4 linked regions of the Mus musculus genome follow. The protein of the gene in region 4 purifies or fractionates together with the protein of the main gene of each other region. This does not show direct contact. Links are inferred from orthologs where the notes say so. Each region holds a gene or a part of one and is shown on either strand. Other genes may lie near its edges. The genes, in order: Tuba1a, Sdf2, Sdf2l1 and Dnajb11.

Region 1 (6,243 bases), on a different chromosome or scaffold from region 4:
ATATAGTATGTGACCTTTTAATCCTCCTGCCTCTGCTTCCCAACTGTTGATACGACAGGCCTACACCACAAAATCTTTTTTATATAGTACATAATTTCCATATAATGTGGTGGTAACCTGTCAACTTCACACAATGTGCAGTCACATGGGAAGATGTGCCTCCATCACACTAGTCTGTAATTAGGTCTTTGGGAGCATCATTTTCTTCATTAATGATTAGTGTGGGAAGGTTGGGTCCCCAGTGGGTGGCACCACCCCTGAGCAGGTGGTCCTGGGTCAGATAAACTGCAGACAGAGCACAGCGTGGCTCAAGCCAGGAGGTGCCATTCCCTCTTTGCCCCTTTCAGCTCCTGCCCCAGCCCCGCTTGATGGACAGACAGTAAGGTAGAATAAACCCTTTCCTCTGAGGTCGTGGTATTTATTTCAGCCAAAGCATGAAAGCTGGCACACACTCAAATATAGAACACAAGACAACTTTTAAGACAGGGAGTATTTTATTTAAAACCCATAAGTGAAATGGGCAGCTTGGGTCTCTGTCAAATCAATCATTCATAAGTCAGTAACTGTATGAAAGCACACATTGCCACATACAAATTAACTGATCAGACCACAACTTTCTGTGTTGGAACACAATAAACATCCCTGTGGAAGCAGCACCTTGTGACATTTAATTTAGTATTCCTCTCCTTCTTCCTCCCCCTCGCCTTCCACAGAATCCACACCAACCTCCTCATAATCCTTCTCTAGGGCAGCCATGTCCTCACGGGCCTCAGAGAACTCACCCTCCTCCATGCCCTCACCCACATACCAGTGCACAAAGGCACGCTTGGCATACATCAGATCAAACTTGTGATCTAGGCGAGCCCAGGCCTCAGCAATGGCTGTGGTGTTGCTCAGCATGCACACAGCTCTCTGCACCTTGGCCAGGTCACCACCGGGTACCACAGTGGGAGGCTGGTAGTTAATGCCAACCTTGAAGCCAGTGGGGCACCAGTCCACAAACTGGATGGTACGCTTGGTCTTGATGGTGGCAATGGCAGCATTGACATCTTTGGGAACCACATCACCACGGTACAGCAGGCAGCAAGCCATGTATTTACCATGGCGAGGGTCACATTTCACCATCTGGTTGGCTGGCTCAAAGCAGGCATTGGTGATCTCTGCTACAGAAAGCTGCTCGTGGTAGGCTTTCTCAGCAGAGATGACAGGGGCATAAGTGGCCAGAGGGAAGTGGATACGAGGGTAGGGTACCAGGTTGGTCTGGAATTCTGTCAGATCAACATTCAGGGCCCCATCAAATCTGAGGGAAGCAGTGATGGAAGACACAATTTGACCTATCAACCTGTTTAGGTTAGTGTAGGTTGGGCGCTCAATGTCGAGGTTTCTACGACAGATATCATAGATGGCCTCATTGTCTACCATGAAGGCACAATCAGAGTGCTCCAGGGTGGTGTGGGTGGTGAGGATGGAATTGTAGGGCTCAACCACAGCAGTGGAAACCTGGGGGGCTGGGTAAATGGAGAACTCCAGCTTGGACTTCTTTCCGTAATCCACAGAGAGCCGCTCCATCAGCAGGGAGGTGAAGCCAGAGCCAGTTCCCCCGCCAAAGCTGTGGAAAACCAAGAAGCCCTGGAGACCTGTGCACTGGTCAGCCTGTGGGAGAAAAGGAAATGTAATGTTTTATTAGGAGGGCATACTCTTAGCACTATTTGCAATTCCTTTAGATTGGGAGCCATATTTGCTTGATAGAAAAGACTTGACAGATTCTGACAGATACCAAGACACCCTCCCACTGCATTTTAAACCCATCCATATATGGCATTTACCAGCTTGCGAATCCTGTCCAGGACAAGGTCAATGATCTCCTTGCCAATGGTGTAGTGGCCACGAGCATAGTTATTGGCAGCATCCTCCTTGCCTGTGATGAGCTGCTCAGGGTGGAAGAGCTGGCGGTAGGTGCCGGTGCGAACTTCATCTGCAAAGGGAGAAGACGTCAGCCATCGGCCACCGAGGACACACACAAGCTCACTCACCCTTCTGGGTCTGGAGAGAGATTCTGAGTATGTGACCAAGAAGGAATGCCTGGGGAAGCCCCCAGCCAGCTTACCGATGACCGTGGGTTCCAGGTCTACGAACACTGCCCGGGGCACATGCTTGCCAGCTCCTGTCTCACTGAAGAAGGTGTTGAAGGAGTCATCTCCTCCCCCAATGGTCTTGTCACTTGGCATCTGGCCATCAGGCTGGATGCCATGTTCCAGGCAGTAGAGCTCCCAGCAGGCATTGCCGATCTGGACACCAGCCTGGCCAACATGGATGGAGATGCACTCACGCTGTGGAAAGAGGGAAAAAAATTATAAAATTAAGCTGTTATAATATTAAGCTGTATTTCTATTTTAGATCTTAATAGATTTCTAAAGTGTTTCTAAAAATAGAAATATTGTTGAAATTTATTTGGAGTCACATCCCTAATAACAGGAACAATGAGGAGTACTCACTACAAACACCAAAAGTGGGTGTGGCCTAGATGTCACCTTAATACTGCTTAAGACATGGTGCAAACCCATTGTTTCCAAAGCCTTGCTTGAATAGAACAGCTTTCATATTTGAAAAATATTTAAAGCATAGATTCTGTAAAACAAAATAATTATCCATAATAATACTAATTGCTTCTTTACCCGATAAGTAAGGATGAAGTTTTCATCCTATAGGACCTGGTATTTCATCATGGACATCTGCAGTGCGGCTGGGGCCAACAGCCACACCCTTCTGTGGACCCCATCAGTACTCTGGCTAGGCTACATAATAAAGAGTCTCACACTATAGGACCTTCTATTTCAACACTGACATCTGCAGTGCGGCTGAGGCCAGGAGCCACACCCTTCTGCAGACAGACCCCATCAGTACTTTGGCTAGTCGACAAGCTAGACAAAGTCTGATTTCTGCATTGCCACGTTCTCTGTGCCTGGTGCTAGCCTGTGCTGTTACATTATTTAACAGAGAAAGCTCTATTTCCAGCAGCTGTCTATGCGATCTCTTTGTGCTGCTTTCATGGTCCCTCCTAACCCTGGCTGGGGCCATTAGCCTGAATTAATGAATTAGTGCACATTTATTAGAACAAAAGATGGTTGGGTGCAGAGTATAATTTTTTTCTTTGCAGAAAATCCATTGTTTTTTGAAGGTTTTCCACTGTATGGAATGGAAATATTCTTAAAGCAGGCTAAGTTAGAAACAATGAGCGCCAACATTTTTTAAAAAAACAAGTGAAAAGATAGCTAAATTTAAAAGTAGAAAATAATATTTTTATCCTATGAATCTCTACATACCACTAATATTTCATTCTATAGAGATACACGTCTGTTGTGGAGGGACTACTTTCATTGTCTGCGGGGGTGGGGGGCGGGGAAGGGCGTTTCCCTGGGTTCTGACCATCAGCGTACTCTAGGATTCACAAAGTGGGCTTTGTCATTCCCCAACCATCCAGCTCCCCTCCCCCCTCAGCGAGATGTCCCCGTTAAGCAAATCGTATTTTTGACAGCCCTGCAGACGAAACATCCCATGACTACAGTTCCACAACGATTTTTTTTAAAGTAAAAATAAAAATAATTAAAAAAAAAAAAACCGCTCGGAAGAGGCTTAGTGAGAACCAACCCCTCCCAAAACGCCACGGAAGCAAGAGACAAACAACCCCGCCCCTGCGCCTCCCTGACAGCGGCTGCCATGGATCCGACGCAAACTAAACATTTTCCTAGCGAAGTGGGGCGGTGTTTCTGGAGTTCGGGCTCGGCCGCCGCCCCTGCCCTCCTACAGCAGCGGACCCTCGATCCCCCACCCGTCCCCGGCGGTCCCCGTGGTCCCCTGCAGTCCCTGGCTCTGCCAGCGCTAGCTCATCGGCGCTGCCTTTGTTCTTCCCGGTCTGGGCGTTTCCGTGTCCCGCACTGCGGCGGCGGGACTCAAAGACTAAGATAAACTTAAAGCATGGAGACCACCCTTTCCCCGCAGAGGTGACCAAAGCCTTAGACGTTTCCTTGCAGATCTGGGGCGACTGACACCCACCCTCTATCTACCGAGAGCCGGGGAAGGCTTGCTCACCATGGTTGCTGCTTCGCGGCTGCCGGGTGGATGGCGGAGGCGAGGAGGAGGTGTTGCTTCTTACAGCGCGACTCTTAGGCGGTCGATGTAAGAGAACCTGCGGCACTTGGGCGGATGCGGCTCCTTATATACAGCTCTGTCACCATGGGGATGGGCCAGGGCCTTTTCCTGTTGGTCCAGACCCCTCTGTCTGCCCAGAGAAGCCGCGACAGGAGAGTGGTGATTGGTGCAAGCGACATGGTATGAGGTAATCTCTCCCCCACCCCTTCCCCCTAGCATCCGTAGACTTTGCATCCTTCAGACAAAGGCCGTGCAAAGGCAGCTAGCCGAGCATCCATTATGGGGTGGAGTTGGGGAGGGGTGGAAAGGGAAGAAAGAAAACTGGGGTTGGATGATTATACGTAGTTTAAACCTTAAACTGTATTTAAAAATCATCTAAGGTTTTTCCCAACACTTAATCACAGAATTTATGTTTAGAATCTTTTTGGAAAATTCCAGCTTTTCATTTTTAATATACTGAATTTAATTACGTTCTGTCAGAATTCAACATCTCTATTTGCTTTAAAAAGTAGCAGAAGATACGGGGGTGGTCAAAAAGGCGTGGCTGAATGTTTAGTTTCATAGTTATTGTATTATTGTTATTCTTTATTATTATTTGAGCAAAAGTCAGTACGAGTAGACCACGCCTGTGACCTCAACAGCACCTGGGAGTCAGAGGCAGGAAGACTTGCAGCTCAAGGTCATCTTAACTGGCCTTAGTGGTTTATTCCTGTGTATCCCAGCACTGGGAAGCCGGGGATTGCAGCTAATTTGTGCCCACCCTGGATATATAGTGTGATATCCTGTCTCAAAAACCAAAAGAAAAAGAAAGAAAGAAAGAAAGAAAGAAAGAAAGAAAGAAAGAAGAGAAGAGAGAAATAATATACAAAGTAGTACTTAATACTAGAGAGCTTTCTTTCTTTAGCTGTAATTCTCTCCCATCACCCCTCCGTGCCCGCCCCCCTACCCCACCCTACCTCACCCCAGAGCCTGTGTTATTTTGTCCCTAGAAATGAGCCATCCTTTCTAATATGGAATTCAGAAACTGTAAGGAGAAAGAATTGAGTTTAAAAACTAGCTCTTTGTGTGGGCTTGTATTTCTCCAGTCTTTTTTTTTTTTTTGGAGGGGGAGGGGTGATATCAAGTAAAAAATAACTGAGATGCCAAATTAAAAAGAGGAGCGTTTTATAATATAAAAGGAAACCATTTTGTGATGTTTTCATCCCCAGACAACTGTGCAGTGCCAGCCCTGCTGCAGTTTTATGTAGTTCCCTGAATTCTGTAAATAGCCCCTTCCGCAGCTGGGCTTCTGACTGTGGGAACTGTAGCTGCTCTCCCCAAGGCTGCTCAGCCAGAGACTGTGGTCCTTGCTCAATTGCCCCTTGGGACAAAAATGCCTTGCTTTCACTCCTAGGAAATAGATTACAGTGGCACTCTCTTGCTATGTAGAAAGGCTCCGTTGTCAGCAAGGAAGATCTCTATATAGTGAGTCTCCGAGCTGCGGACCACTGATAATTTGCAGGATGAAATTTTAGAGGAAAAGAGATATTTGTTTGGGCACCGAGCTAAAAATGTGGATTTTGACAGATGGCTTCCCTTTCAGTAGCAGAGTCTTGGTCGCCCGCAGCTCTGTTTGCGAGCCCTGTGGAGTCCATTCATTCCGGCTGGGCTCCCAAGGCGCAGGGCGCTGGTGTGGGAGGGAGAGCCTTGGGAACACAGCAGCTGCAGGTTGTGAGCTAACAATGGTGGCCATGAGTTCTTCTAGCCTGAGGTCCACAGCTCTGCCTTTCTTGTTTAAATTTATCGTAAAAGTCTTTTCTAAAGAAAAACAAAACAAAACAAATCAATATAACCCACAAACAAAGAATTGTCTACTTCTTGCATATTTCCTAGGAAAAACAACCCCCTCATCTTCATTATTTTATAGCAGAGGGAAGAGAGATGACTTGACTACCTCTAACATGTAAGTATATCAGCAAGAACAAGAACTAAATGGTGTCAGCGCTCTCTCAGAGAAGGCCACACCCATGTGCTCCGATATTGTTCTGATCACTTCTCTCTTAACTCTTATGTTTAGAATTGATAGTAATGAATAAATCCCAACTGTGCTTCATT
Region 2 (5,634 bases), on a different chromosome or scaffold from region 4:
TTAATTTCCAGCTCACAGCTCACAGCACCTGTAACTCCAGGCCCAGGGGTTAGCTGCCTAGATGTCTTCTTCTGGCCTCTTTGGACATGTGATACACAGACATACATCCAAGCAAACACTTTATTACACATAAAGACTAAAAAGCCTGCAGTCACTGAAATTCCACCAGATGGCAGTCAGTTCTGCTCACCACTGCCCAGCCTAAGAATGTAGGAGCAAAGTCTAGAATTAACTGGAACAAGAAAGTTGGAAATGAGGTGGCAGAGGAAGGACAACAAAAATCTTTAAAAAGGAAGAAGCTTTTCTTTTCTTTTTTTTTTTTTTTTTTGTTTTTTGAGACAGGGTTTCTCTGTGTAGCCCTGGCTGTCCCGGCACTCACTCTGTAGACCAGGCTGGCCTCGAACTCAGAAATCCGCCTGCCTCTGCCTCCTGAGTGCTGGGATTAAAGGCATGCACCACCACGCCCAGCAGAAGCTGCCTTTTAAGAGCTAAACACACTGTGGTGCAGGTAAAAAGACCAAGGCAGGTACAGCTCCTATCCCAAAAAGTACCTACTGCTTTCCAGAATGCAGGTGGCTACTCAGGTTTTCTCTCCCACACTGTCAAAAGTGTATCTACCCTGTGAAGAGTCTATGATGTTTAAACGAAGGGTTGTCAGATGGTGCCTAGATTAGTAGTGAACTAATGTTGGTTTTGGTAACCCTAAGTCCTTTTCTCATCTACATAACAGATCCTCAGGAAGACATGACATCAGCTAGATATGATGATAAACTCTGTGAAAGTCTTCCTTACACATGGTCAAAATTTAATAAAGACGTGCTGGGGAAGGATTTGAAGGCACAGAGAGAAAAGGGTTATATGGAAATAAACCTCCTAAAAGGGCCAGCAGTGAAGATTCCTAGCACCTTGAAAGTCTTAGGGGGCCAGAGAGATGGTGGTTCAGTGGGTAGGAACACTGGCTGCTCTTCCCAGAGGTCCTGAGTTCAATTCTCAGCAACCACACGGTGGCTCACAACCATCTGTAATTCTAGTGAATCTGAAGACAGCTACAGTGTACTCATATAAATAAATAAATAAATCTTTAAAAAAAAAAAAAAGGGCTGGAGACTTGGCTCAGTGGTTAAGAGCACCGACTGCTCTTCCAAAGGTCCTGAGTTCAAATCCCAGAAACCACATGGTGGCTCACAACCATCCATAATGAGATCTGATGCCCTCTTCTGGTGCATCTGAAGACAGCTACAGTGTACTTACATATAATAATAAATAAATCTTTAAAAAAAAAAAGTCGCCAGGCAGTGGTGGCACTTGGGAGGTAGAGGCAGGCGGATTTCTGAGTTCAAGGCCAGCCTGGGCTACAAAGTGAGTTCCAGGACAGCCAGGGCTATACAGAGAAAAAAACAAAACAAAAACAAAAACAAAAACAAAAACAAAAAAAGTCTTAGGACTTGTGAATTAAGCAGTCAGATCATGAAATAGCCTGCTTAATAAATGACCACACAATGAATAAAAGTCTTTTTATTTATTTATTTATTCATTATTTTGGAGAAAGACAAAACAGGAGAAATCACAAATTAAGAATCCATGATGCCCAGTTCCTGCGGAGTTACACTTCCCAGCTAAGACAGGCAAGCTCCTCAACTTCTTTTACCAGCATGAAGAAAGCTATCTCCACCTTCACAGACGAGTGAGTCCTTTCCCGAGAGAACTGACTAAGCCTGGGAGAGCAACCAATTCAAGTGTGAAGGGCTGCAGGTCCCAAGGCAGCACGCTCAGAGGACCTGGAGCAGGGATCCCGCAGTAAAGCAGCAGCAGATGTCTACAAACACTGTGTGGCGACAGTGGCTCAGAGTATTTAGAGTCACAGCTCTGCATGATGGACCTCTGCCCTCAGCAACTCACTGGGCTTCATGAAGATGCCTTCCATGGCCTTCCAGTAGTTGTTCTGACTTGGCTGGGCCATACCATGTACCTCTTTTTGTCCACTTATGGGTCGTCCGTACTGTTCTCCTGTGACAGACAGCAGTACGTCAGTGGAAGAATGTTTGAACCTCACCTCACCATCTCTAACCCAGTAAGGTCCATTACAGAGCACTGTCCAGTCATCCAGATAGTCGCCTTCACCTTCTTCGCCAAAGGCACTCACTTCCTAAAAGACACAAAATGGTAACATTAACACCTGGTGGTCAGGGCTGGGGAGATGGCTCAGCAGGTAAGAGCACTGACTGCTCTTCCAAAGGTCCTGAATTCAAATTCCAGCAACCACATGGTGACTCACAACCACTCATAATGAGATCTGACACCCTCTTCTGGTGCATCTGAAGTCAGCTACAGTGTACTTATGTATAATAATAAATAAATATTTGGGAAAAAAACAACAACAACATGTGGTGGTTAGGTCTGAAGAGTGGAGGAATGGAGCTGAGAATGGTGGAGCCCACCACAGCTGTAATATTAGGGAACTGGAGATAAGAGCATTAGGGAGGTCAAGATCAACTGGCTACATAGACAGTTTGAGGCTAGCCTAAGCTAGAAGAGACCCTGTCTCCAAATAATAAGGAGTCAGTGAGAAGAAAAATAAAACTGCCCAAGAGAAACAGGATTGGGACTTTCTAGTGTTAATGCACAAATATTTGTGCTGTTGTTGTTTTGAGACAGGGTTTTTTTGTGTAGACCAGGCTGTCCTGGAACTTGCACTGTAGATCAGACTGGACTCAGAGATCTGCCTGCCTTTGGCTCCTACGTGATGGAATTAAAGGCGTGTGCCACGATACCCAGCTTGTTGAACATTTTTTTCTGCATGAGATAAACTGTGAGGGAATAAAAAGACACAAAGGGCACAAGGAAGAATGAGCTGTCTCGCCGGGTGTGGTGGCCCACGCCTTTAATCCCAGCACTCCGGAGGCAGAGGCGGCGGATTTCTGAGTTCGAGGCCAGCCTGATCTACAAAGTGAGTTCCAGGACAGCCAGAGCTACACAGAGAAACCCTGTCTCAAAAACCAAAGAAAAAAAAAAAAAAAAAAAAAAGAATGAGCTGTCTCAGATTATGACCCAAGCACTGACATACTATGTCATATGTTTTTTTTAATTTATTTTTTTAATTTTTTAAAATTTATACATTGAAGATTTATAAAAAAAAAAAATCAGGCACTAGATGTTAAATAATAATTGACCATGAGGCTAGAGAGTTAGTTCAGTGGTTAAGAGCACTGACCGTTAAAGATTTATTAACCTGCTCCTGGAAATATGCCACTAGCCTTGGACGACAGCGCCCACTGAATACATACTTTTAGAATTGTTATATTTTGATGATTTATAATGATGTTACCTGTTCTGTTTGTGATGCACTGAATAAATAGTTTCAGAGTTGCAATGCTTGGATGATTTTTGTGCTATACTGTGCCAAATGATTTTTGTTGGTATGTGATTGTTTTACTGGATATAGTTTCTAAGAGATGTAATGTTTGGTTTTTTAATGTATAAAATCCTCTGCTTGAGAGCTGCAAAATACATTCATTCAAACTGCCTCTGTGTTCGTTTCTGTTTGTCACCGTCGAATCCTTACCCACCTAAGTTCGAGGACACTCATTCCAGGGACCCCAAAACCTGACTGGGGTGGTCCATGGCAGGAGTCCATGTGGGCTCAAGTGTTCTTTCTTTTAAGCAGGTGAGACTATGGTGTACACTACTGCATTTGGTCTTCTGAACAAACTCATCACTTATTTTAACTTCTGGGGAGAGGATAATACAACCATACACTTGTTTCCAGGGATCCGGCACCCTCACAGACACATACAGGCAAAATGCTAATGTGCCTAAAGTAAAAATAAAACAAAACCAAAAATGGAGAAGTGGCTCAGAGGTTAAGAGCACTTACTGTTCTTCCTGGTTCCTGAGTTCAATTCCCAGTAACTACAACCATCTGTAATAAGATCTTTTTTTTTTTTTAAATATTTTTTTTTTAAGATTTTTATTTATTATTGTATCTAAGTACACTGTAGCTGTCTTCAGATGCACCAGAAGAGGGCGTCAGATCTCATTATGGGTGGTTGTGAGCCACCATGTGGTTGCTGAGATTTGAACTCAGGACCTTTGGAAGAGCAGTCGGTGCTCTTAACCACTGAGCCATCTCTCCAGCCCCCTGTAATAGGATCTTATACATAAAATTAAAAAGTTTTTAAAAAGTTAAAAACAAAAACAAACAAACGAACAAAAAACCCCAAAACCAACTCAGAGCATATGCTGCCCTTCCAGAGGACCCAGGTCTGATAACCAGCAACCCACACAGCCATCACAACCATCGGTAGCCCCAGCTCCAGGGGATCTGACGCCCACTTCTGGCCTCCAAGGACAATGCACACACAACACAGTGCACAGCTATACGTCTAGGAAAACACTCAAACACATAAAGATAAAAAATAATTCTAGTCAGGCACGACGAGGTACACCTATACTTTCAAAATGTAACAGGCTGAGGCAGGAGGAACACCTTGAGCTCCTGGCTGACTGGAGCTGCATGGTGAGTCCAAGGCTAGTACAGCGAAGCCCTGCCTCAAATAAATAGATGCATGCACACACACCACAGTCAGGGGCTGGAGAGGTGGCTCAGTGGATAAGGGCTTCTTGAGCATTCATGAAGCCCTGGCTTTGGTCCCCAGCACAGCCCCAAACTAGGCATGGTGGCACATGCCTATAACCTTGGGAAGCTGGAAGGTACAGTCAGGAGCTTCAAGAGTCAGGGACCAGCTGAGCTATAGTGAATGGGAAGCCAGCCCTGGCTACATAAGACCTTGTCTTAAACAAACACAATCCAACCTGGCATGTGTCATATGTAGTGATCTACATCCAGAAAATTATTTTTGTTACTTCTTTATAACTGTAATTTTGCTATTGTTTTAAATTATAATGTAAAAATCTGTAGGTGACCCTGTAAAAGGGTTATTTGACAATTCCAGAGAGGTCATGACCCACAGGTTGAGAGTCACTGCTTTAGACCATCTGTGATTGACTACACAGTGACCCTGTCTCAAAAATAAAACAAAAACCAATAATTTTAATTTTTTGTTCTTATACATACAAGTATTTGCCTGCAAGTACGTTGCTGTATCACTAGAGTGCCTGGTGTCCAGGGAGACCAGAAGTGAGCGTCTGATCCCCCGGACCTGGAATAAACTGAGCTACCATGTGAGAACTGAGCCTGGATCCTTTAGAAGAGCCGCCAGTGCTCCTAACTGCTGAGCCATCTCTCCAGCCCTGTACTCTTTATTGTACCAACTTACTAGTTTTTTTTGTTTTTTTTTTTTGGTTTTGTTTGTTTGTTTTGTTTTGTTTTTTTCGAGACAGGGTTTCTCTGAATAGCCCTGGCTGTCCTGGAACTCACTTTGTAGACCAGGCTGGCTTCGAACTCAGAAATCCGCCTGCCTCTGCCTCCTGAGTGCGGGGATTCCAGGCGTGCGCCACCACGCCTGGCTTAACTTACTGGTATTTTAATGTATCCTATTTTGACTTCCCTCACTTTGGTTTAGATGACCTGAAACCATTTTCTTCACACTTAAGAAAGAGATAGAGTCATTTCTCCAAGTCTGCAGAAAAGAGAATGTCTTACCTAGAAAGGAAAGGGTTAATGTGCTCCTTATA
Region 3 (6,156 bases), about 5.7 Mb from region 4:
GCCCTTCTCTTTTAAAATTACAGGTGTCTGAAAAAATGTTCAACATCCTTAATCATCAGGGAAATGCAAATCAAAACAACCCTGAGATTCCACCTCACACCAGTCAGAATGGCTAAGATGAAAAATTCAGGTGACAGCAGATGCTGGCGAGGATGTGGAGAAAGAGGAATGTTCCTCCATTGTTGGTGGGATTGCAAGCTTCTACAACCACTCTGGAAATCAGTCTGGCGGTTCCTCAGAAAATTGGACATAGTACTACCGGAGGATCCAGCAATACCTCTCCTGGGTATATATCCAGAAGATGTCCCAACAGGTAAGAAGGACACATGCTCCACTATATTCATAGCAGCCTTATTTATAATAGCCAGAAGCTGGAAAGAACCCAGATGCCCCTCAACAGAGGAATGGATACAGAAAATGTGGTACATTTACACAATGGAATACTACTCAGCTATTAAAAAGAATGAATTTATGAAATTCCTAGGCAAATGGATGGACCTGGAGGGCATCATCCTGAGTGAGGTAACCCAATCACAAAGGAACTCTCACAATATGTACTCACTGATAAGTGGATATTAGCCCAGAAACTTAGGATACCCAAGATATAAGATACAATTTGCTAAACACATTAAACTCAAGAGAACGAAGACTAAAGTGTGGACACTTTGCCCCTTCTTAGAATAGGAAACAAAACACCCATGGAAGGAGTTACAGAGACAAAATTTGGAAGTGTGACGAAAGGATGGACCATCTAGTGATTGCCATATCCAGAGATCCATCCCATGATCAGCTTCCAAATGCTGACACCATTGCATACACTAGCAAGATTTTGCTGAAAGGACCCAGATATAGCTGTCTCTTGTGAGACTATGCCAGGGCCTAGCAAACACTGAAGTGGATGCTCACAGTCAGCTATTGGATGGGTCACACGGCCCCCAATGGAGGAACTAGAGAAAGCACCCAAGGAACTAAAGGGAACTGCAACCCTATAGGTGGAACAACAATATGAACTAAGCAGTACCCCGGAGCTCTTGACTCTAGCTGCATATGTATCAAAAGATGGCCTAGTCAGCCATCACTACAAAGAGAGGCCCATTGGACTTACAAACTTTATATGGCCCAGTACAGGGGAATGCCAGGGCCAAAAAGGGGGAGTGGGTGGGTAGGGGAGTGGGGGTGGGTGGGTATGGGGGAGTTTTGGTATAGCATTGGAAATGTAAATGAGCTAAATACCTAATAAAAAATGGAAAAAAAAATTACAGGTGTCCCTGTAGGTTTGTGCGCATGTGTGCAGGAATAAGAGGTCTGAGAGATCCCTCCCAGAACTGGAGTTACAAGTTGTGAACCACCTGACATGACATAGTTACTAGTCCTCTGAAAGTGCAGGCTGTGCTCCCAACTAGCAAGTCATCTTCCCTAGTTCTCTTCTTTCTTTAGGGCCTTGGATGTCCTAGTGGGGGCCTGCACCATGGGCAGGTCAGAGTAAGGGGGAGTGTGCCATTGCCATCAAAAGTCTGGGAGCCTGAGGTGTTAATTCCCAATAGATAGGCAGAATCCTCAACAGACCTTTAGTCAAAGATAAGTTTCAAAACTGCTGCAACCACCAGAAGAATGGGTTCCTGAGAGTAAGAGATGAGAGGACTGGAGAGTTTGAGCCCATCCCAGTTGGCAGGGGCCCTGCCTACGGCCAAGGCCCTTCAATAGAGAAATTGCCTAAGGTCAAGTCCTGGGAAATGAGGTCGGCGGCTCTGACGACACTGTATGGTAGACTGCAGAGTTAAACTGCACAGACAGGCATCCAGAAAAGGTTTGGGACAGTGAGATGGCTATGTGTACTGTGTGAAGCTGGCAAACTGAGAGTGATCTCTGGAACCAACATAAAGGTGGAAGATGAGAAGCGACTAGAGAGAGCTGCTCTGAGGTACAGGTGGCAACAAACACATCTCATGCACTCACACTTAGTAATAAAAATGAGTTTATTGAACAGGTTGGGGCCAGTTGTGGTGGTGTACACCTTTAATACCAGCACTCAGGAGACAGAGGCAGGTGGATCTCTCTGTGAGTTCCAGGCCTGCCAAGGATACATAGTGAGACAGTCTCAAAAAAAAAAAAAAAAAAAAATTTCAGCAGGTGCTTGAGACAGGTGAGATGGTAACTTGGACAGATATGGCTGGCACCTTCAGATCTTCCCCAGGGTTACAGCAAAAATAATCCCAGACCAACATTCTTTAATCATAAAGGCACTTGAGGGCCCCTACAAACAAAGTCTTACACAAGAGTGACCCCGAGATTGCCACTCAGCCACCCTCCCATCACTCATCTGGTTCTCAGAGTTCATCGTGACCCGTGGAGAGATCTGCTCCAGGCTTGATGAAGATTCCTTCCATTGCCTTCCACGTGTTGTGAGCATTGGCACTAGGCATGCCATGAACCTCATGCTGCCCACGGATGGGGTTACCATACTGTTCACCAGTGACCGACAGGAACACAGAGGTGCCCACGTGCTGGAAGCGGACACTGGCCTCTCGCTCCCAGTGTTGCCCAGAACATCGGACTGTCCACAGGTCCAGGTCATCACCCTCACCGTCTTCCCCAAAAGCACTCACCTCCTGAGAGTATAAGGTATAGGAACAGTCACACAGAGGGCACAAGCTCCCCTGAGCTGCATGTCTGGCCGTCATATTTGCACCTAGTATCCTGGGGCCTCTGCTCCTTTTCCTGACCTTCAGCATTCACAGCTATGAAAATGGAAGCCAAGAGTCCTGCCCTAGCTAGGCTCAGCGGCACACGCCTTTAAGCGTAGCACTCAGAAGGTATAGGCAGGCAGATCTCTGGGGGGTTTAAGGCCAGCCTGGTCTACATAGTGTGTTCTAGGACAGCCAGGGCTACATAGAGAAATCTGGTCTCAAAATAGACTCTCACCCCATTCTTCAGGTGCATAGAGCCTCTTGTATCAGACTGTGTAGTGCCAACTGGCCTTACCCCCAAATTCCCCTCCAACATTTTCCCCCTGAAACTCTCCAAAGCACTGTCAGATTCTCCCTGCGTCCCTCCCAGACCAGCTGCAATGAACACTGTACTTTAGTAGGAACTCTTTCGCAGAGGGGAAGGAGTAGGAAGAAGCTCCCACTTCTCTTTAAGACCCAGCCCTGAGTTTCTCCTTCCTGCAGTTTCCTATTATCTGCGCTGTGGGTCCACCTCTGTGTCCAAATACGAACTAATCTCTCACTTCTAACTCGGTGGAGAAAGTTACTGGGGACAGGACCCAGAGCAGGAGCTCCATAAACTTCTGAATAGAAACTCCCAATTCACAGTAGCTGACACTGAGTCCCCTCTTGGGCCCCTCCCCTACATCCCTCCCTCTGTCTTTGGGTCCCTGCCCCACGCAGCCTCTGTGGGTTTCGGAACGGGGCTTGCCTGGTTGTTGGATAGCGGCGACGGGAAGTGGTGCGTGTGCAGGTTCTTGCCGGTGAGCACGTGCGTGAGCCGCACTGCTTGCCCACAGCGCACTGGGAGTCCGCGCGGGCACCCACCCTCGGAGCCGCCGCGAATCCGCCAGTAACTATTGGCATCGTCGGACTCCTCCACGCCGGTTACCGACTGTTGGCCGCTGCCTGAAGAGTAACAGCCCACCCCACCCCGTGGATTCTTGTTAATCACAGACCTCCGGACCCTCGTCTTGAACACTAAAAAGTTTCCCTCACAGCCCCTACCACTCTAGGATCCAAAGAGCTCACCCCAGCCCAGGCCAGACCCTAAGTACCGGTGGACATCGCCCTCCCCCTTCCCGCGCATCCTCGATCCCTCAGGCTTGTCAGTCACGACCCACAAGCGAGTCTAGACTCGCAACCACCCAGCTCCCTGACAACCCACAGACCCCGCTAGGACCACCTAGTCTCTAAGCCCTCCGCCCCCTGGCGGTCCCAGTCACCACCCCTGCGCACCAGATCCGTATTTGATGTCGTGTGAGTGCAGCCGCACTTTGTGGTGGGTGTTGAGCAGCTTCAGCACTGACCCGCAGGTCACTAGCCCGGCGCTGGCCTTGGACGCGCCCCCACTCCGCACTGAGAGCGCCAGCAGCAGCCCCAGCAGCGTTGGCCCCGCTACCCTGCCCCGGCTCGCGCCCCACATCCCGCCAGCCGGCCAGGTTCCAGCTGCTCTAGACCTCTGCGCTTCCGTCCTCAACAGCGGCCAATCCAGCTCTGACAGCGCCCTCCCACGGCAGCCAATCGTCTGCGCGCGCGCGTTCCTCCTGCACTGCTATTGGACCGTGTGCAGCGGCCCCACCCCCAGCTTCCAAGGAGGTAGCTGGAAAGGGGTTGGAGACACCAGGAGGATTTTAACTGGTCCACGCTTCCGAGGACCCGCCAATAAAGCAGTGGCTGCGGCGAGCGTCCCCGGAGAGGCCACGGAAAGCCGCACACCCGGGTTGGTTGCTTCTAGTCACTTGGCTCCCGGTTAGAGATCCTCGGGTGTAGTAGGTATAGGAACCCCTTTGACCCTGGACCCCCTAAACTTTAGTCTCGTGTCCCTCCACTCAGACCCCGGGATAAAGCTACAGGTTCTTATGTTAATTACGAGATTTTGTGGTCTCAAAGTGGGCAGATAACAAAGTTATTGAAATCTCCTGGCCCCAGGAGTTAATCAAACTGAATCACATCAGTTTCTGGACCCCATGGTTTTTTAATTCTCTTAGTCATGCAGCTACTTGAGTCATTTGGTGGCAGAATCCTAAGGTTGCTGGATGACAAAGCTGTGAGCCCTCTCTCTCTCTCTCTCTCACACACACACACACACACACACTCACACAGTGCTGGCGCGCGCGCTCACGTACACACATTCACTCTATCCATCCATCCATCTGTTGAGTATTCACAAAGGAACTGCCCCTCCAGGCTACATTACTAAGAAGCTGATGAAGCATGTACTTAGGGCACTAGCTAGATACGCAGTAAAGTTTATGTTTGCATTAAAGTTTATGTTTCCGTCTGCAGATGTAGCTCAGTTGAGTGAGTCCAGCAAGCGCAAAACCCTGGATTTGATCCTTAGCAAATCAACCCTCAAGTAGTGGAGGCAGGAAGTTCAAGAATAAGTCTGAGGTCATCCGCCTAGAGAGGATGACAGGCAGACAACATGTTTCTAAGTAAGCTGTGTCAGAATAGTTAGAATCAAAATAGAGTCATTTGTCAGGCCTTTAACCCTAACACACACATGAATATGAGGCTGAGAAGGAGGGGATCTCGTGCATGAATGTCTAACAAGAATAATTTACAAAAGGCTCAGCCAGAACTGCCTTTCACAAAGGACCACAGCCTCACACAAAATATCTCTGCTTACACTCCAGAGCCAAAATGGGGGAACCAAAAATTCTTTTAACTTTTATGGGGCCTCACCTCATGACATTTTATATTTGTTTCCGTCTCTCTCTCTCTCTCTCTCTCTCTCTCTCACAGAAACTTTTTAAAACAGTTTTTTTTTTTTTATGTATATGAGTTGTAGCTGTCTTCAGACACACTAGAAGAGGGCATTGGATCCCATTACAGATGGTTGTGAGCCACCATGTAGTTGCTGGGAACTGAACTCAGGAACTCTGGAAGACAGTGCTCTTAACCAGTGAGCCATCTCTCCAGCCCTTGAAGTGGAGACTTAAGGACTCTATGTGTCAGTTGCATTGGGTTGATGTTTTGTTGGAGCAAACATGTGAAGGAACGTTTTGCTGAAGTGGACATAGATGAAAAGCTAAGACAGACTCATGAAGGAACATTCAGATAAAAGGATGTTTTGCTTAAACAAACACATGAAAGGACATATGATAATGGATTCTCTGCTAATGACACACATATATTGGTCCATCTTACATTTCGTAGTTGAGCTCCATTTGTCAGGACTCCATAGAGAAAAGTGCACCAAAAAACTTCTGGTGGTGGTATGTCTCGCTTCTTGCCACTTCTACAGACTCTGCCAATTGACAGAGTGATGTCAGCTGAGACAGACTCACATGGAGTTTTGCTAAGACAGACTCATGTGCTGAGGCAAGACCCATGGAGGACACATAATGTTTACAGAGAGAATAAAAAGGACTCGATGGACAGTGATAGACTTGGCTTGCTAACGTAGGTAGCTAAATGCTTGTTGGTCTTGCCTCTTAGCTGATCT
Region 4 (4,694 bases):
CTTTGCAGAAGGCCTGCAGCCATGTCTCCCAGCTCTAAAGGGTTTTGCTAGTTTCCTTTCAGACAGTCATCCCATACCATGCACACGTGCACACACACACCCCCCTACACACACAAACACACCCACCCCTGTACCTTCTTTTGCTTCCTCTGTCAGCTGTTCTTTTGGAAAGTCCACATCAAAAGTGATTATCAAAGAGCCCTTGATGTTATTGTTATCAAAGTTGGGCAGCCCTTCCCCTTTCTTCCACAGCTTGGCTCCTGGCCTGGTGATCTTGTCCCGGGAAATATGGACCTGGAAAGCAAAAGGAGCACAGTGGAGCAGGACAGGCACACACTAAGTCCATCACACAACTTCTACTGGGCACTGGGGACAATGCTAGTAGTGTCACAGCTCAGCAGAAAAGGCAGGTTGAAGGGCAAGGGTTGACAGGCACAGAGAGACTTAAAATACAGCTGGAGGCTCAGCAGCAGAGAGGACAGTGAGAGATGGCCTCTGGCTCTGATAACCCAAGAGCACATGGCTACAAAGCCGGAAGAGAGGGTGTTTACCTTGTGACCATCCAGGTGAGTTATGTCCATCTCAAAGCCAACCAGAGCCTCAACCAGTGAGACGGTCACATTTGTGTACAGGTCATCCCCTCTCCTCTCAAATATCCGGTGCCTGAGAAGGAAAAGGTAAAATCCATCAGGGTTTATAGTGCTAGAGAAATCCTGGAGACAGACGCACACATGGCATTTCTGAGATTACAGAGCTGTGTCAGTCTTACTGAACTCAATTGCTAAGTACCTTACAATTAGCACAAGTACACAAATGTAAGGAAAAAGCATTGATCATTAGGTTATAGAAAAGAAAGGCCATGCTTAGCTCGGTTTTCTGTGATTTCCCAAGTTACAGATAAGGTGAGACCACTGACTTCAAGGCCAGCTTGGGCTACAAAGTGAGCTCCAACCTCTTAACTCCCTACCCCCACCTGACCTAAGGTACCAGGCTTACTGAGGGAACACAACTGTTCTAGTTCCTCAGGGAAGCTCTGAGGGAGACAAGGCATGCAAGAAAAGATCACCCAATCAGGGTGCCGGAGGGGAAGCCTGGGAAGAGGAGCCAGTTCTCTATCATCTGGTGGGAACAATGAATGTTTCAGTGAAGCCTAAACACAGACCTCTTACTGGTTTCCAACCAGTTAATAAGAGAATAGTCAGTTGGAAAGGCCGAGTACTGGGTGTAAGCAGCACTCCGCACTGGAGGAAGCCTATGAAAGGCGAGGCTGAGGATTAATATGACCGAATGGTCTTGTTGTGGGAAACAAGGGCAGCATGCCTTATTCCTATTGCAGACTGCCTCTCATTCACAGCTCTTTTCACTTCTGGTGGTTTGTTTGTTTGTTTGTTTGTTTGTGAGATAAGATATAACGAATCCCAAGCTAGATGACCTTGAACTACGGATCTGTCTGAGCCACCTGGAAGGCACAGCAGGCGTGGCAGCCAGCAGGGCCCACACTGGGCAATGTGCATGTGGACAGTGCTCGACCAGCCCTCAGCTCTCTCTTAGATTCTTACCTGTCTTTCCTTCCAGCAGCTTTTGAATTTATAAGTCCTAAGTAAATAACTGGGGCTCAGGGCCAGCGCATCACCTCCTATTTTCAGTACTATTGCAGAGTTAGAAACAATGACTACGGTATTGTAGGCATAAAACAGAAGACAAAGTGAGGACTCCCTACCACTGCAATCGCTGGGAGTCCTCTCCCCGCTGGCACTTACTTGACAACTTTGATTCGGAACCGTAAGTCTCCGGGTTCCCCATCCACATGCGGCTCACCTGGTCAGGACAGTCCAAAGAAGAACAGAAGTTACACAAGCTGAACGTGTATTTGGTGTCACTTCTAGTGACTTTTAAATCCACTGCCTCAGGCGATGTCTCTGTCATATCTGTCTGGGAAGGCAATGCCTTCACTCCCCCCACATACCATGTAGCCGTTAGGTTATGGATAAGGCAGAAGTGAGCTCTGATAGTCAACACCAGCATCTCACCTTCTCCAATAAAGGGGTACTCCATGCCATCTCGCACCCCAGGCTCTATTTCCACTTCTAGTGTTCGTTCTTCATTCACTAATCTGAGACAAAAGGGGAAGAGAATAGTAATGGGAGCCCAGATAAATCAGCTCCACCTCTGAGCTCCTGGGGAGCCTCTTCTTGGATAGCCCACTGTGCTGTTTGCCAAGGCTATCTGGGCCTGAGTAGAGCATCCAGATGCTAACACTCAGAGGAGAGTGACTCTGCATCACATAGACATACAGGTTTGTGCTTGAGGTCAGAGCTGGAGGGAAACAAATATCTGTCACATGTGTCAACAAGACACACACTGAGGGCCTGTCACTTACTTGACATTAGGGCACTCGTCACAAACCACTTCCTGGGTCATTTGGAAGCGTCCCGGTCCCAGCTGTGTGGTTCTCATCTCTTGCCGACAGTTGCATTTCCGTTTGCCAGGAGCCTGCCTGGCCACAGGCTTGTTTCTAACTACCTAAGAACACATGAAACAGCCTTTAGTTTTCCTCTCTGGGGTACAAATCAACCCTCACACAGGGTGGAAGCAAGTGTATATTTAAATGACTCTGATCTCAGTCTGAATCTGTAGGAAAGGAGAGAGGGGAAGAAGAGACTAAAACCAGGTATTAATACCAGCATTTCCAAGACACACCAGGGCCTCTGAATTGAAGCAGTTCACAGGATTATTATGTTGTTGAGAAATCTGAGTTGTTTAAAGCACCACCCCCAGAGCACAGCCATGGCACTCAAAAGCTGCCGTGTGGCTACCTCCCAGTTCTGTGAGCCATCTCCCCAGACCACCTCTTTCTGTTTTAGGCAACCTAGCCCAGGACTAATCCCCAGCACTGTCACCATTCAGACACACTCATAGTCATGTCCTCGGGTACATGGTGAATTTGTGGCCAGCCTGGGCTATGTTATCCTCATCCCCCCCCCCCAAAAAAAAAACAAAAGAAGTACTTTAAGGCAGGACAGATCATGGTTAAGAGCACATCTTGCTCTTGTAGAGGATTGAGTTCCACTACTTATATCCACTGCCCTGAACACCTGCACTCATGCGCACACACACCTATAAAGATACACATAACATCTCATGTCGATGTGCTCATGTAGTGAAGTGACATAGCGTCTGGAGAAAACGCCCAGAGCAGTGCTCGCATGCCTTACAAGTGCACACAGCCATCTGATCGCAGCTCTGTAGGGAGCTCTCACTCTTCTCATGCACAGCGAGGAACCAGCAGCATTTAGTTAAGTGAGACAACAGGGTTTGAAAGCGTGCAGAGTAGCTGCAAAGCCCATTCCAAATGTTACAGAAAGACAACCTCAGGCAAAAGAAAGCCCAATTTTACTGGAGAACCCAGAAGAACTTTCTCATGTTAGAGCAGACTTTTAAAATTAACAATTAAAGATCAGACTTTTTCCACATTAAAATGAACACTTGTACTAATTAAAATAAATCTTAAATACTGTGTAAAGATAAGTTATATTATAAATGGATAACTATATCTGCATTACGGCTCACAAAAACTTAAGAGCAAAAATGAAGCAGTCTCAGAAATCAACAAAGCGGGGCACATGGTGAAACGGCATGTCACAAGAAGAAACAAACAGGGCAAATGAAAGAGATGTTTTGCCTAGTTGGAAATTAAGAAGCACAAACCAAGACCACAGTAATCCCATACCCACGTAATAACTAGGAGGGAACAGGGACTATTCCGTATGGACAGGGGCAGAGCAAACATGAACTGCCGTGGCATGCTGACTATTGACTTGGACAATTTCAAACATACTATGGCACTTTTGTGTGAAGCATAAATGTGTGGACCCAACCCAGCAATTCTACTTTCACACGTATCCATGATGGAGACATCCCCGCTCACGTGTAACTAGAGTACATACAGCGATGTTCACGTGTAGGACTCTTTGGGAGTTTCACTGAGTTCTCAGGCTAGGTAGTGAGCTCAGTTCGTGACTACTATGAACTAAGTAAGGATTCTGATGATTTCAACTATGTATGTGTCAGCCACTCCCTCTCATACTCTAAAAGACACAAAGCACTTGAAACTCTCTGCTTTGTGGTCAAAAGTACGAGTTCTGTGGGTCAGTGTGGGTAGGTGTACTGTGTGAACTCACTTCCACAAAATTTCCTGCGTACACTTCTTCCAGAGTGACTTCTAGATCTACGATGATATCACTTCCTCTTGGAATATTCCTGTCCTGCTGACGAGGGGTTCCTCCAAACATGAAGCCAAAGTCTCCAAAGAAGCTGTGGATACAGGCAAACTCATCAGGAGAAAGGACTCGGATCCTAAGTCTCACAACTGTTGATTTTCTTCCCCTTGATAAAATATTGTTCCTGCCAGCACACTATGCAAAACAGATATTCTTAATATACTGGGTCCAAATACAATACAAATTTTAATTTACATAATTTAATTTACAGGTTGCTGCCCCACCCCCAAATTACTGTTTAATACAATATGTCCCATACATAACAGCCAGACACTAATGCACAGTATATCAAAGGATTCAATGTTGGACTCAATCAATGGAATAATCCATTCAAATACTGAGGAAAATCCAGATATTATAGACATAATGAAAGGGGGTATAATATATTTAATCTGGTGCAATTCAGACTTTTTG

What was found.
Region 1: the proteins of Dnajb11 (region 4) and Tuba1a purify together in Homo sapiens (affinity purification with mass spectrometry; 3 studies listed by BioGRID and IntAct, counting the BioPlex papers as one, with this or other methods). This does not show direct contact. The link is inferred for Mus musculus from reciprocal best matches to the Homo sapiens genes DNAJB11 and TUBA1A.
Region 2: the proteins of Dnajb11 (region 4) and Sdf2 purify together in Homo sapiens (affinity purification with mass spectrometry; 3 studies listed by BioGRID and IntAct, counting the BioPlex papers as one, with this or other methods). This does not show direct contact. The link is inferred for Mus musculus from reciprocal best matches to the Homo sapiens genes DNAJB11 and SDF2.
Region 3: the proteins of Dnajb11 (region 4) and Sdf2l1 purify together in Homo sapiens (affinity purification with mass spectrometry; 3 studies listed by BioGRID and IntAct, counting the BioPlex papers as one, with this or other methods). This does not show direct contact. The link is inferred for Mus musculus from reciprocal best matches to the Homo sapiens genes DNAJB11 and SDF2L1.

What each region holds. Positions count from the first base shown.
Region 1 is NC_000081.6:98,949,362-98,955,604, forward strand, and holds Tuba1a (tubulin alpha-1A chain), read right to left. Parts: upstream 4,141-6,243; 5' UTR 4,093-4,140; coding exon 4,090-4,092; intron 2,331-4,089; coding exon 2,108-2,330; intron 1,976-2,107; coding exon 1,827-1,975; intron 1,654-1,826; coding exon 673-1,653; 3' UTR 486-672; downstream 1-485. UniProt on the Homo sapiens protein: Tubulin is the major constituent of microtubules, a cylinder consisting of laterally associated linear protofilaments composed of alpha- and beta-tubulin heterodimers.
Region 2 is NC_000077.6:78,251,363-78,256,996, reverse strand, and holds the end of Sdf2 (stromal cell-derived factor 2 isoform 1 precursor), read right to left. Parts: intron 2,147-5,634; coding exon 1,859-2,146; 3' UTR 1,501-1,858; downstream 1-1,500.
Region 3 is NC_000082.6:17,128,180-17,134,335, forward strand, and holds Sdf2l1 (stromal cell-derived factor 2-like protein 1 precursor), read right to left. Parts: upstream 4,205-6,156; 5' UTR 4,132-4,204; coding exon 3,945-4,131; intron 3,615-3,944; coding exon 3,418-3,614; intron 2,610-3,417; coding exon 2,328-2,609; 3' UTR 1,959-2,327; downstream 1-1,958.
Region 4 is NC_000082.6:22,866,540-22,871,233, reverse strand, and holds part of Dnajb11 (dnaJ homolog subfamily B member 11 precursor), read right to left. Parts: intron 4,315-4,694; coding exon 4,182-4,314; intron 2,524-4,181; coding exon 2,381-2,523; intron 2,114-2,380; coding exon 2,031-2,113; intron 1,819-2,030; coding exon 1,761-1,818; intron 664-1,760; coding exon 552-663; intron 295-551; coding exon 135-294; intron 1-134. UniProt on the Homo sapiens protein: As a co-chaperone for HSPA5 it is required for proper folding, trafficking or degradation of proteins.